2 linked regions of the Oryzias latipes genome follow. The protein of the gene in region 2 binds, or shares a complex with, the protein of the main gene of each other region. Links are inferred from orthologs where the notes say so. Each region holds a gene or a part of one and is shown on either strand. Other genes may lie near its edges.

Region 1 (3,936 bases), on a different chromosome or scaffold from region 2:
CAGAGTTATGCCAAAATTTAATTGCAACAACCTCCAATTTAAACTATGCTTTAAGAGGCTAAACTGTATATTGAAAGTAATTTTCTTTGTGGTTGAAAACTTTTATCCAGCTCTGAATTTTTATAACCTGAGGATAGGATGACATCTTCATATATGCAGTCCTCCTCATAATCCATAGCCAGCCCTAGTCACCCCATTGCTCTCCCCATGAATCACTTACTTCTGAGAGCTGACTTGATATGACATGAGAGTGAAGTTTCCATCTGGAGGGATGAAAGACAAAACCCGTTCCGACTCCCAGCGTTTGAACCTCACGCAGGGATGAAAGCTCACATCATCCAGGAGACGAGGATTCTGTCAATAATACATCAATAATGAGCAAAATTTAGACTTGAACAAAAGTGCACAGATGATCTAAATACAGATATGGGGGGAAATGAGCCCACCATGAAGGACAAAGTGAGATCCGGCATCCCGGTAAGCCTCACACAAGCTTCAATGACCCCCTGGATCTCTGCAAATACTGTTGTCCCTGTTCAGTAAACAAAGTCACCGGTATTACTGTGCATTTAACTGCATTTCCCACCAACTGCTTTATTCTTCTCTTCTTTTCAAGTACCTGATTTATCGAGAATTGCATCAATTTCTTCGATCACATCAAAATATGCCTCATTGTTTGTGTACTTGACACCAGCCCTTCTCCATGGAACATTAGACAGCTGACCTGTTGGCAAAGTGTTTCCAACATTGCTACCTCCTGGAAAAAACAAATGAAATGTAATGTTAACGCTGCCCTTCAGTGTGACTTAAAGAGCCAGAAGTTCACAATGTTCCTTGTGACGTTTGTTTACCTGTTAGTGTATTGACGACTGACCGCAGAATGTTGGGAGGCTTTATCATCTCCTTGAGGACATTGGACTCGGTGGCGAGCGGAAATCCGTTGTCGAGCATCTCCTCCAATAGCTCGTAAACAATCACTACATTATCCTTGATTACAGTTTCTGAACATTCTCCAAAGTAATCCTGCAAAAAAAAAAAAAAAATGTTACTGAAAGGACAACAGTGGCTGTCCCTTTGAGCAGCGTCAGCAGACCAATATGGGCAATAACGTAAGTTCTGTGTTCTATTAGAAAGAGTGTAGCACAATTGAGAGTGCTGTACTTCTAAGCACTTGAAGAGCCTTTTGATATTACTTTGGATCGCAGATTTAATAAAATCCCTTTAATTTGCATTAAAGCACACAAAACTATCAATTTAATATTTTCAAAGATATTTTTTGTGTTTTTCCTTTTCTGCTTTGTCACCATACCTGCATGTACACATGGTACATTTACTATTAACTGAAATCTGACAATTCTTCCTTTTTTTAACATGAAACCCATTCAGCAACATTTCTTACAGTGCCCCATGACAATTTCCGTCATAAACACAGTTTAGTTTAGACAAAATAAAACATAAGTCACAAAGTAAAATATCTTTATCGTGTATTAACAAATCCTTCCATAGCCATTTAGCCTGCATGGGGTATATAATGGGATTTTATTAAAAAGACGTATGATATATGAGTCAACACTCTCCAAGCTCTTTTAAGTAATCTTATTTATGGTTTTATACAACGTCTTTAACGCTTCCAAGAATAAAATCATTTTAACCCTAACCAACATCAGGCACAGCACTTTGCATTACCAGTCCCCAATTTGGAGGTACTGGTTTGGCCACTTTATTAGGTTTATAATTGGTGTATTCACTTGTATTTTAATTATTTTGTATGTCTTGTGTTTCTTTTTAATGGTGTTGACATTTACACTTCGAGTCTGAAATAAAAATACTTTTTTATTGGTTTAAATGATAATTCCAAAGACGATCCCTGGTTTAAGTCAGCACAAAATACTAACTGCAGTCAAGGTTAAGGTTGCTGCTGAAATTCTTATATTTGGCCAAACTAATGCCTCAAAGAATGTCTTATAAAGGACTTTTTAGTTATATCTTTAATATATATTATATACTTACATGAAAGTGCAGCAAGAAGGAAACTTATTCCTAGAGCTTGACTAGAAGCACTTAAGATCTGGCACACACTTATCACAAAGAAGACATTCAGGTAAGAAATCAATACTACCAAGAATGTATCTCCAACTCTGTGCAGGAACTCGATGACAAAAAGTGGAGGCACTTCAGTCTGGATGGCAGACAGGAAGAAGATCTTGTCCCTGTATATACTGATGAGATAGTGGTGTGGGGTCTGCAGGACAGGGGCCACATTTTCTGGGTCTACTGCTTTTTCCTTAGCTTCGAAAAAGTAATCACAAACACTCCGGCTGATAACACTCTTCCAGTGTTTCTCCAGGAAAATGTCTCCTGAGTGGTTAATCAGGAACAGACTGTCGATCATCTCAGCTGCAGAAGGAAACGTTGTTGTTTGAGTTGGTTCTCTTAGACCAGATGGCACACGATAACTACACAATGTCGGTCACATGATTCAAATAACTTAAACTAAACAGTTTGTAAAAAATAAAAAAAATGAAAAGACTTTTGAAATATTATCTGAAAAGTTAAAAGTTTATTGTGCTGAGTGAGATAACAGAAAGAAAAATATGAATCATACTTACCAACTTATCGTTAATCCTGTCAGAGGAAGACCAACATGTAAAGTGCGAAATATTTTTACAGCTTTTACAAAGTTTTAGCTGTAGATCACTTGCTTTAAAAAAAGAAAAAACTCGATTCAACTACAGGGAAGAATACTCAGTTGGTGCCAATATGGAAGTATATCTCATAGGCATCTCAGGGGACGCCTACAGCTATGTGCACACGTAAGCAGAAAGAACTGAATTGTGCTACTAGACTAATAGTTGAAAAACGGGTATATTTACGCTATTGAAGTGGCATTCACGATAATCTAATAAAGTGTAATATTCTTCCCCTCCATTTTTTTATTTAAAGTTAGTGGGTTTATTTTTAATCAGGCAAAATCAGAGGACAGCTGTTTTGCTCTCATTGTTGTCAGTCAGTGGGTTAAAAAAACCGGTGTATAGTTTTGCAGGCAACCTTTGACAACGATCTAAGCCGCGCATCAGACCATTCAGTTTTCGGTGTTCTTTAAAATAGCTAATCCATTGTTGTATGTCAGCATTATTGTGTGGAAAGGTTTTGTTAGAATATTACAAATTTTTAAAGAAAAACTATTTGGAAAACTCAATATGATTTTTTGTATTTTGATGGCATTTTAACGTGTACTGTTGTGAAACGTACGCATTTCCCCATGGTATAACACAATTAATGACAGTATTTGGAAGTTTCCGAAGTTTTATTCACCATTTTATTGTATGTATATGATTAGAAAAAGTAGCACCTATAACTACTACAGCTCCTCGTTAAACTGAGTTGGGCAGGAACCATACTGTCTATGGCAGCAACAACTTACCTACAAGTCACTACCCAGGGAAAACAACAAACTTCCTTGATACGACTGCATTTTCGAAAGATAATTGCAAAGACAAAAGGATTAATATGGGGGGGGGGTAGATTTTGTAAACAATGTGAAGAAACATTCATATATTTAATTTCGACCTATGATCACAAAAAATTAGTTTGGAAGTAATTGTCAGTATGATATAATGACTCAATTTTTTCTCGATTTCTTCCTGACATGGAAAAACAGATCCTGTATGGTTTTACTGATTATGAAAAGTTACTTCACAATTTTATTGGTTACATTTCCTGATTTTATTAACAAAATATTACATTCATTAAACTACATTTGGCTTTAAACCTCAAAATTCCTTTGAATTAATTGCTCAAATCAGACATTATATACACCCAGTACCTACAGAACAGCAGTTAAAACCTATCATCTGTCTCAGCTTTATAGATTAAATAGCTACTTTTATTTATGTTGTTTTTACATTTTTGAAGAAAAAAAAAGGTATCAAAGTT
Region 2 (3,500 bases):
CACAGTGACCAATCGGGGGACAGTGACACGTAGGTCGCGTCCTTTTCAAAACACAGAATATCCAACTGTTGTAAACATGATCACAAAGGAGAAAAATACTAATTACGTTTTGTGCCCTACTGGATTAAGATGAAACCAAGATAAACCTTTGTAGGAAAAGAGCTGCGAAAATAAAAAGCCTGGAGGAAGATTTGCATGAGATAGGCGGCGGACCAGCGCTAGGAAACAATAAAAATGTAACAAAAACCATTCCTGCTCCAATGTATTTAACATCTTTTTGATCAAATTTCTTTTCAGGAATTTTGTAGTTAGTCAAATTGTAAACTGGCCAATTAGATGCCTCAATAAGAGTAGGTGGAGCCTGCTGGTCCATACGTCCAACGTTTAAACAGTTTGACAGATTCCGTGTAGGTGTGGACTTCCTATGACAGGTTGCCATAGAAACAATGACGCAGACCGACTTGGATTGACCTCTGTTTACTGGCTCCAGTAGGGCTGGGCGATATGGCCCAAAAATAAATCTCAGATTTTATATTTTTTAAATTCGATTTCTGATTTTTCCCCCGACCCCCCCACTTAAGGAAAGCAATAAGTACAAACGACAGACAACTTAAAGCAAATTTTGCTTTGATTTGATCAAACGCAAGACAAATGTAACCCCCATTTCTGGGATGAATAATAAATAAATAAACACACTCTTGGAACCAAAGTCCTAGCTGTGTTTTAAGTCCCACTTTGTAGTCTAGACTAAAAGGAGACAAACATTCACCTTGAGAGTAGCACCATTTTCGAAAGGATTAACAATTCAGCTCAAACCTGGGGTCTATGGTTTTAATTAAATTAATAAACCCCGTCTTCCCCATGTCTTTGGCTATATGCAAAGCGACCGCTTCTGTGATTGCTCTCCACCGTGCCCCTTTCGGTACCCATCGGTACCCATCCCGTCCTAGGGATGGGTACCGAGACCCGGTATTGAACGAGCCCCGGGGCAACATTCTTCAAGACCTGACCTCAACGGTTCTGCTATCGGTACTGGAGAACTCGCATTTTTTGTGTACCACAAGATATAAACTTGAGCTGAGACGGTGTGGGATTTTTGATCACCGTGGTGATGAAGCGATTCGCGGTCAACTTCCCATTCTCACCGGTAGCCATGCTGTCACTTGCTGTTTCGTGTGTGCTATGATGTTCTTGTTTGTCGCTTGCCACACCGCCGTGTGAAACTAGCGCTACGGAAGTTCTGGGGAGCCATAAATGTGCCATTACACAGAAACTCAATTTAGTTATTTTTTAAATCGCCCGTAACAAAAAAATTCAAATTCATTCAATCGATTTTTCGCCCAGGCCTATGCTCCAGCGTGGGGGCGTCCATACCACAAAAAAACAAAATAGTACTGGATTGTCTTCATTTGGTTGGAGGAAACCAATATCTGTGGATGACGGTCCAGTTCTCAGATAATGGTTTGCAAAATAAATAAATGTTCTTCCTGCCGCTTACTTTAAAAACCTTCATCACCCTTTTATCGTGCCTTTCTGACATTTATTCTGAGCATTTATTTGCTCATCTGTGGACAAAACGAGCAGCTACCTTCAAGGTCTTTATGTGCGTGGGGTCAGTGGACCTCACGTAGAAGCTCTTCATGTACGGCTCAAACATTCCCTGGAAGGACACGAGACGTTTAAACACATCACATCCAAAAAAACACACCAAAAATACACGCATCACATCAAAAAAAAAAAAAAAAACACAGCAGGTCTGACACGCAGCCTTACCTTCCTCTGAATGGACATGGTGGCAATGTTCTGCAAAACGATGTACTGCACCTCTCTGTGCAGAAGACCAGAATGAAAACACGTTAGGAGTATTTGTACGCCAAACCTTCTGCAGAAGGAAAAAAGTGTGAAGGCAACCTGTGGCTCCTCAGCAGCCGAACAAGAGACTTGGTGACGACACTAACTTCGTGTTTTGGCGCCAGGTGCCAGTAAAGTTGAGCAACAGACATCACGACCTAAATCAAAGCAAACAGCACATTATTACAAGATTTTATCCTTCAGTTTGGATCAAAGTCCTAATTAAAAATAAAACAAAACCATGGTCCCATCCATCTTCTGATGACCCACAATAAATATAACTCCAGCATCTCTCTGGCCTGTATGAAGGCCCTCTAACAACATCCCACCATCAGGGTCATTTTTCAGCAGAGCTTTAAATAGCAGGATGGCGTGTGTCCGTCGTTTCAGGCAGAATGAAAAGGTTCAGCCATCTATGAAGATGGAAGATGTCACTGTGCCGACGCGAGGAAAGACACAGCGTGTCACATTTTAATCAACGCTTTCATTTGGGAGCATTTTTCCTCCCGCTGCTCCCCGGCGACGGAGACCTTGAGACTCCAGTGTGATGGAGATCCGCACTTTCACAGTTTTCTTTTCTTTTTTTCTTCTTCCCCCCACTGTGACAGGTTGTGTCCATGTTGTATTTATACAAGACAGCGTACTCTGATCGCAGTATTATAGAGAGAATGTTGAAATTCTCCATGCAGGACAAATTCAAGCTTTTTCATAGAACATTTTTAAGCTTTGACATCATTTTTACTATATTCCAACATTGGAAAATCTAAATTTGGGTAATGCTGTATAATAAAATCTCTTAATTGTTTAGTGTAATGATTAATTGATCAATCAAAAATGCAGTTAAGTTCAGCTCACGATTTATTAAAGTTAAAGTTAAAGTACCATTTGCTTTCACACATAGGAGTGTGAAATTTGTTCTCCGCATTTGACCCCTCCCCTGGGGGAGCGGGGAGCTGCAGGCACAGCCGCACTCGGGAACCTTTTGGTGGATTAAACCCCTCAATCCAACCCCTTAATGCTAAGCATTAAGCAGTGAGGCATTGGGTCCCATTTTTAGAGTCTTTGGTATGACCCGACCTTCCAGTCACAGGGCGGACACTCTACCACAAGGCCACTGAGCTGGTCTATTAACATTTACACATAGAATCAGGCAAGTTTAGACAGTTTGCACTCAGAACTGGAAAAGGCCATGAAAAGTGTCCTTTTCTGCTTATTTTCTTTAAGCACTATAACAATTCTTTGGGGTAATTCTTCAAGTATAAAAAAAATAAAGGAAAGGGAAAACAAAGACTTCTAACAACTGTATAACTTAATTCATTTTGCAATAGAGAATACAAGGACAGAACATTCTACTAACTTTCTACTTAGAATTTGCAGAAAGAAGCGGTTTTGGAGCGGAAATGACATCACCATAACCTCTGTCGCCCAAAGTCAGTCAAAAAGTCTGAATTGAAACTGGAAATTAAGAACTAAAAGCAAAGAGGGAAAGAAACAAAGGCTGAAAATACAAAAGGCTATGACATCGTATTAGGGGCCACAAACAAAAACAAAATAAAATAAAATAAAGGTAATATAATGAGATTTAAATTTACAACTTAAATATCATAAATGTATGACTTTCTTGTAAATTTATGAGATTTAAAGTTCAA

What was found. Proteins that work in one complex are often made in the same cells at the same time.
Region 1: the proteins of ap3b1 (region 2) and AP-3 complex subunit mu-1 are in contact, whole or in part, in a cryo-EM structure (PDB 9C5A), measured with the Homo sapiens proteins. The link is inferred for Oryzias latipes from reciprocal best matches to the Homo sapiens genes AP3B1 and AP3M1. Residues at the interface, in NP_003655.3 of Homo sapiens: Leu60, Lys64, Val67, Gly68, Ile70, Ala71, Lys72, Gly73, Ile92, Glu93, Lys96, Leu97, Val100, Arg104, Glu107, Asn128, Gln129, Leu130, Arg137, Arg143, Ser163, Pro164, Tyr165, Lys168, Asn169, His172, Gln175, Lys176, Leu202, Ser206; in NP_001307192.1 of Homo sapiens: Met1, Phe15, Leu16, Glu17, Trp20, Lys21, Ser22, Val23, Gln26, Val42, Glu43, Asn44, Val45, Pro46, Pro47, Val48, Ser50, Tyr55, Ser58, Ile59, Tyr60, Gln71, Thr72, Glu73, Val74, Pro75, Pro76, Leu77, Phe78, Ile80.

Annotation. Positions count from the first base shown.
Region 1 is NC_019873.2:23,929,022-23,932,957, forward strand, and holds the start of AP-3 complex subunit mu-1, read right to left. Parts: upstream 2,801-3,936; 5' UTR 2,610-2,800; intron 2,398-2,609; 5' UTR 2,393-2,397; coding exon 2,120-2,392; intron 1,024-2,119; coding exon 852-1,023; intron 758-851; coding exon 620-757; intron 533-619; coding exon 447-532; intron 355-446; coding exon 221-354; intron 1-220. UniProt on the Homo sapiens protein: Part of the AP-3 complex, an adaptor-related complex which is not clathrin-associated. The complex is associated with the Golgi region as well as more peripheral structures.
Region 2 is NC_019870.2:3,643,733-3,647,232, forward strand, and holds part of ap3b1 (AP-3 complex subunit beta-1), read right to left. Parts: intron 2,010-3,500; coding exon 1,912-2,009; intron 1,829-1,911; coding exon 1,774-1,828; intron 1,661-1,773; coding exon 1,589-1,660; intron 1-1,588. UniProt on the Homo sapiens protein: Subunit of non-clathrin- and clathrin-associated adaptor protein complex 3 (AP-3) that plays a role in protein sorting in the late-Golgi/trans-Golgi network (TGN) and/or endosomes.